Kluyveromyces lactis: one gene and its partner. The protein of the gene in region 1 interacts with the protein of each later gene in a pairwise test. Links are inferred from orthologs where the notes say so. Each region holds a gene or a part of one and is shown on either strand. Other genes may lie near its edges.

Region 1 (3,801 bases):
GCAATTTCTTTAGAATCACAAACGGATTCTCTGTTGACTAAATATTCTTCTTTTGCTCAAACAACAAGTTCTGAACCGTCAGGACAAGAAACGCAATTGCAGGAGAAACTAGAGAAGATTCTCAACCAGAGACAGGAGACAGTGGAATCTTTACAAAGAATTGCAGACAGTGAAAGTAATATATCCACGTCCAAGCTATCACAGCTACAGCGCCATAGGGAAACATTACAAGACAATTGGCAAACGTTCCGTGACATTCGCTCCTCCATACAACAAGAACGCAATCGCCTTAACCTCTTGTTTTCAGTGAAGAAAGATTTACAAAATAGTGCTAGTGATAATCAAAATGAATATATTCAAGATGAGGCTCGGAGAGTCGAAAATTCTCACACAGTGGTGGATTCTTTGATAGACCAGGCTTATGAAACCAGAGAGCAGTTCATGTCACAACGAGTGTTTTTACAAAGGTCTAGTGACAGAATCTTACAGACTTTGCAACACATTCCTTTGATTAATAATGTGATATCAAAGATAAACACTAGAAGAAAGAAGAATGCTGTAATATTGGCATCCTTAATATCAATTTGTATCTTAGTACTATTTTTTACAGCATAAATAGTATCAACTGAGGTAATTAAAACTTGATAAGATCACTGTTAATGCTATGATAGGTACGTAATTCGTTATAAAGGGAAGAATGCATTTGTGTTTGTTCTCATGCGCTTCTGTCACTATGCTTTTGGATGAAATTTGGTCGGGAGTAGGTTGTTTCTTCTGATTCGAAGATTGTAGGAATACCTGTGCTAGGATTTCTTGTCTTTGAATTCCTCAATACGCTCTTGAAATGGACTTGTTTGTTCTCAGACGTCTGAGATCTGTGGCTTTCTACGTTTGAGGTTGTGTTATTAGTACCGATGGTTTCTAAATCAGAACCAACGAACCCAGATGATGTTTTCACCTTTAGGAGTTCCCAATGTCTTCTAAACCAATCGGTATAAGCTGAAAGTGGTAAGTTTAGAGGTGATTCGTGCCCTTGATATATGCAAAAATCATATACTAAACCACCAGTGAAACTTCCCACGAATGGAACGACCATTGGAACCCAGAAGAAATGGTGATGCGTGTTAAAAATCACATCTTTGTCCATCCCGATTGTTAAGAGAGCTAGCCTAGGTCCCATATCTCTCGCAGGATTCAAAACAGCACCTGTCTGGTATGCGCCTGCTGCATTGAGAATAAACATAAGAATGAAAAGCATCATAGGAAAAAGGTCCGTGGACAAACATGTATAAGGATCTGTTAACGAGAAAATTCCACACTGCAGCATGGCCCCTATTAGAAATTCTGCAATTATTTGTCTTGATGTAGAGAGATAATCCAATGGCACGACACTGAACATTGCCAATACACTTTCCTCCAAATGCCAGTTTGGATATACATGTTCAATAACCTCTCGATAGTACCACAAAATTAATAAGGTTCCAATATACGAGCCCAGGTATTGTCCCATAAAATAAACACCTAATTTTCTCCAAGGGAATCCTCTATAAACAAAATTTGACACCGTAATTGCTGGATTCAGATGTGCACCCGAAATTGCACTACCACCTGCTGCAAAATAACCCATTACCACAGCCGCAGCCCAACCAAAGGCAACAGTTGCGAAATTACCTGCAACATCTGGAGTTGCAAGATATTGCAGCATAGCTATTTGATCAGACTCCATGTTATTCAACTGAATAATTTGATTAAATTTGTTAATTTGATTTTGTTGTGAAAGTTTCCTTTGACAGTTAACAGCAGTACCAAACATCATCATAATCATGGTACCTAAAAACTCACCGAAAAATTCCTTCATGTGTTGGTACTTAAACGATGACCACTTATTGATCGGATAATATGTCGAAGGTAAAACTGTGGGTGTTTGAGGGTTTTGATATAAAGTCTTTGGTTTCACCATCATAGTCACGGCACCATTCACGTTGCTCGGATCATTTGGATCTGCTGCAGTTTGACTGTTTTGATTAGGTCCCGTCGTCGATCTAGACATCACGGATCCCGGACCTTCTGTAGGCCTAGGTGGCATGACGTTAGAAGTTACGGTGTTACTTCTTATCCTCCTATAGTTATTCATATTTAGTGACGTATTCGGTACCACCTCTTGCACAGGAAAATAAGAACCTTCGTCCAGATATTGTTGCACGTAGGCAGTAACAGGAACCGTAGCCCCATCATCTGCACTATCGTTATCATCGTCATAACCGCCTTCGCCTGAGATTCTACTTTCATTCCCGTCAACGCTACCTGTCGGATAACGATGATTCACATTTGCAAAGTCATCGTTCTGCCAGTCACCATTGGATATTCCAGCGTCTTTGACAGGCTCATATTGGGCCGTCTGTGACATTTCAACCGCAAATTATGGCTGCAGCTACTATAGGATTCTGATTATCTAGTATTGCTAGAGTTCTCGTTTCAACTAGTGTTCGGCAAGTCGTAAATATCCGAAATCTGTACAGTTAATTAAAAAACTTTCGCAAAATTATAGATATTATTGATATGTAAACATGAAAAATATCCATTATTCGAAAGATGAGTTAGTTATGTGAACGTTTCTATAATATTTACAACTACCACGGCTGAGGGTTCTTTTTTTTTTCCTTTTTTTCCGAGATTATCTAAGCTGACTTGCCTGCCTAGAACTTGGGCAAAACCGATAATCAAGACAAGTAGAACATCAGCCGTCATCTGGCAAGAAGAATTGACGGTTTGGTTTCACCTTTGTATTTTTCCTCAAATACTTAGAATTAGCTTTTAGTATTCTGATTCTGGTATGAGAGTGGCCGTTGGTCCAGGCGCAAAACGTGGGATCTGAGAAAGAGGAACAATATTACTGTACAAATGAGACTTGGCTTGGAGGATCGTCGCTATTACACACTGTTCTTTATGCTTTTCAAACATTCCAAGAAAAAAATTCAGAATGTCACATAGTGTTTTTGCATCGTTCCTTTTCAATGTTCAGAGGTAAAAGAGTTGGATAAGGAAAATCCATTCACATCATAAGTAACTTTCCACAAAAGAATGATACCGACAACCTTCTCCTACCAATTGAAAAAAAATGCGGGGTGCTGAAACACAGAAAAACAATCCTTCAGTCAAGGATAAGAGTTTCATTAATAACGGTCTCGAAATGTTGCTGCGGGAATCTTCTTTACACTCTTTCAAGAGTAGCTTATCTTAAGCAGAGAGCAATTGAAGTAAAATTCCCCACACCTGTGATGTGAAATCTAGACATAGTGTTTTCTCTCTAAGGTTACTTCTCTTTGTTTTGGTAGTTCTTTTTTTGTTAGGGCGTGGGGCTCCCCGTTGGATACAAACTAAAAAGATCAAAAATGCCAATTCGAGATTTTCAGCATATCGTGCGTGATATTGTCTCATCGGACAATCAGGATATCAAGAAATCTAGAGAATTGAACATGTCGGATAATTAGCATTGCGCCGTTGTTTCTATATCCCCACAGAAATTACCAGGAACCAAGTGATTTTCTCAAGGCGAAAGCTGGGAGATTTTCTGCACTAGCAGCTTTTGTTCGTTATTTTTCTCCGTTCTCCCACACTATAACAAAAAGTGGATTGGGAAACAACCCAAGTAAAAATAGGCACAAAAAGGCGAAAAATTCAAAGGAAATATGACCCGGCTAGGATTTAAATTCTATAGCAACGGCAATCTTTCCAGCAGACATTACTACCTATTTTTATAGCAAACAATAGTAGCGGTTGCAGAATGAACTAAATACAATT
Region 2 (3,490 bases), on another chromosome or scaffold:
GATGGTCTCATTCAAGATATCAGATAGCGAGCGATATGAACTCGAAATTTTTCAGGTAGAACTGAGGGGGAGATTATTTTCTACGAGCAATTTTCTACGCAATACTACAAGGCAATAGAATCCACGAAAAAATTACGTAGTTGCTGCGGACTCTTTTTGTTTTGATTTCCGTTGTTTTGGTTTTATAGTTTTGCGTAATCTTCTATATTTGGTACCCTGTAAAAAGGTTCTAGACTTTGGGCATTTCACTCTTTAATCAGATTCGTTCCCCTTTGTCTGCTTGCTTCTGCAAGATGGTGTGCTTTGTTTACCCTGTGCGATCGCGTTTCAAGGGTTCCATGATAGGGCTTTAAAGGCGCTAATCACAAATCTCAAGTATATCGTCGTATTCCAGAGTCGCGGGTTCGACTCATGTTGAGTGTAAGTCAGATCAGTCACCAGTAGAGAAGGATGTCATGGCTTGATTTGTAAATAGACCCTGGAAACGCCGATAGTAGGTTACAAACTACGACAGAGCGTCAAGGGCGCGGCCGGTGGGTTTTACCTACTGCAAATCATCTCACGGTTCGTCCATTTTTTCTATTCCATGCCTAGAAAACCAAGAGGTGTGATTTCCCGGGTAACATCAAGTTACTAATCCGTTTCTATGCATCTATTACCCTGTCTCGTAAGTTTTCTTATCAGATCACGTTGTATGTAAGTAGGCGGTTTCAAACCATACTTTATTCAAATTGATGTCTGTCCAAAAACTGTCATTTCGACTTACAAAGAAACTTTAAATGAGGAAATGTATAATTATTGATCAAGAAGTACCTTTAACGTTTATGGTCACCAGTATTAATATGTAACGTCACGGTATTCACAGGTGTGCAATAATTGGGTGGTCTTCTCAAGGGTTTCTTACTTGGTTTATCACGTGATATCAGTAGAAGTATTACCCGGATGTCATGTATCATAATCCGCCACTGCCCCTCCTGTTCGCAAATCTTACTCTACATACATACATGCATACACATATAATAACCCAATCTATCAAGCCGACGTCGATCCTATCTGTCAGAGCTGTTGTTACGTCTTAAATAGGAAACAAGTACACAGGCAGTATTTCAGGGTTAATCACAGAACCAAACGGTGATAAAATCTTCGAAACAGTGTTTTATATAATTCCCACTGTGACACTTTCCCCTCCATTATCGGTGAATGGACATCGTTTTTTGCCAGGCCCTTCCTTTTTTTTTTAGTGAATTAGAACCGTTGAATTTCATATTCAAGTCGTTAAATTTAAAAAATTGAAAATTAAAGAAAACTTGATAGAAACAAAACTAGGAGACCCTTCGACAACAATTGCTATAACGTTGCTTAAGTTATCTGCCAGTTCGAGCGATCTCCCAAAGAATTAGATTCATATACGTATCCTTCGTTGAACCAAAAACTCGAGGATATCGAAGCTGGACACGTTTTTCCAATTGAAATAAAATGTCGAATGAGGAATTTATTAGGACTCAAATTTTTGGTACAGTTTTCGAAATTACCAATCGGTATACTAATTTGAACCCGGTTGGTATGGGTGCCTTCGGGTTGGTTTGTTCTGCTACAGATACGCTAACAAGCCAGCCTGTAGCGATTAAGAAGATTATGAAACCGTTTTCTACTTCCGTACTGGCAAAAAGAACGTATAGGGAACTCAAATTGTTAAAGCATCTAAGGCATGAGAATTTGATTTGTCTCGAAGATATCTTCTTGTCACCATTAGAAGATATTTATTTCGTCACTGAATTGCAAGGGACGGATCTACATAGATTGTTGCAGACAAGGCCTTTGGAAAAACAATTCGTTCAATATTTCTTATACCAGATCTTGAGGGGGCTTAAATACGTTCATTCCGCAGGTGTGATCCATAGAGATTTGAAACCTTCCAATATCTTGATCAATGAGAACTGTGATTTAAAGATCTGCGATTTCGGACTTGCTAGGATTCAAGATCCTCAAATGACTGGTTACGTGTCAACCCGTTACTATAGAGCCCCAGAAATCATGTTGACCTGGCAAAAATATAATGTTGAAGTAGACATCTGGTCTGCTGGTTGTATCTTTGCCGAAATGATCGAGGGTAAGCCTTTGTTCCCAGGTAAAGATCACGTGCATCAATTTTCTATCATCACTGATCTATTAGGATCGCCTCCAAAAGATGTCATAGACACTATTTGCTCAGAGAACACTCTCAAATTTGTTACTTCATTACCTCATAGAGATCCTGTACCATTCAGTTCGAGGTTCCAGAACTTGGAACCAGATGCTATAGATCTTCTAGAAAAAATGCTTGTGTTCGATCCAAAGAAGAGAATTACAGCAGCTGATGCCTTGGCCCATCCTTACCTTTCCCCATATCATGACCCAACCGACGAACCTATCGCAGAAGCTAAGTTTGATTGGAATTTCAACGATGCTGACTTACCTGTTGACACCTGGCGTGTAATGATGTATTCCGAGATCTTGGATTTCCATCAAATCGGTGACCCACAAATCAATACAAATGCTACTTTCGACGACCAAGTAGCCGCTGCCACTGTCGCCGCCGCGGAGGCTGCCTCTAAGCAACAGCAGCAGCAACAACACCAAACTGAAGAGCAAACTCAACAGACAATCGCCTCTACTCCTCCCCAGGCTCAAGTGACCCCACAACAACTTGAAAGTGGCGCTAACTCTAATTCCAATTCTAACCCTTCTTTCTCTATTGGCCCTGATCCAGCAAACGAAACATTGACGAATTTTGCTAATCAAGCAGACCAATACGTCTCCAAATTCAAATAAGTTCAATGTAATGAAATCTGCTTGACAGAAGTATATTCTTTTTTTGTTTTTATTTCGTATTATATAAAGCATCTTTTAATCACAGCAGAAATGTAACTATTTACACGTTTCTTACGATAAACCGAATATTATTTATAATTCTGATAGGGCATCTCAACTAGGAAACAATTGCTTAACAAAATTATTACAAAAGTACTTAAATAAACAAAATCTCTGTTATGATAATACAACTTGAGGGGGTTTCACTCCGTTAAGCCGGCTTCAAGACATAACGAATAGAAAATAGAATCCTTCTTCTGTAACAAATTCTGAGGAGTGTCGAACTCTGTTACTCTACCTTTATCCAACACTATAATTCTATCACTGTCCATAATTGTGTTAATCCTGTGAGCAATTGTTAAGATTGTTCTTTCCTTAAATGCGTTTCTAATCGTCTTTTGGATCAATTGATCCGTTTCAACATCAACAGCTGCAGTTGCTTCATCCAAAATCAAGATATTACTTGAAATCAACAAGGCACGAGCCAAGCACATCAATTGCCTTTGGCCTACACTTAAATTACTACCACCTTCAGTAAGCATGGTCTCCAAACCATTAGATCCCATACCCAGTATGTGATCCTTCAAGTGTGATAAAGCCAATGCATTCCAAATTTCTTCATCGGTATACCGATTAGTAG

Evidence for each region.
Region 2: the proteins of FPS1 (region 1) and HOG1 interact in a two-hybrid assay, tested with the Saccharomyces cerevisiae proteins (2 studies listed by BioGRID, with this or other methods). The link is inferred for Kluyveromyces lactis from reciprocal best matches to the Saccharomyces cerevisiae genes FPS1 and HOG1.

Annotation. Positions count from the first base shown.
Region 1 is NC_006041.1:51,709-55,509, reverse strand, and holds FPS1 (Fps1p), read right to left. Parts: upstream 2,408-3,801; coding exon 716-2,407; downstream 1-715. Other genes in the region: GOS1 (Gos1p), read left to right, coding at 1-615. UniProt on the Saccharomyces cerevisiae protein: Channel protein for glycerol. Has a role in both glycerol influx and efflux. Plays a role in osmoregulation: under osmotic stress the channel is apparently closed to allow accumulation of glycerol in the cell under hyperosmotic conditions.
Region 2 is NC_006042.1:1,865,733-1,869,222, forward strand, and holds HOG1 (mitogen-activated protein kinase HOG1), read left to right. Parts: upstream 1-1,476; coding exon 1,477-2,811; downstream 2,812-3,490. Other genes in the region: ATP-binding cassette glutathione S-conjugate transporter YCF1, read right to left, coding at 3,054-3,490. UniProt on the Saccharomyces cerevisiae protein: Proline-directed serine/threonine-protein kinase involved in a signal transduction pathway that is activated by changes in the osmolarity of the extracellular environment.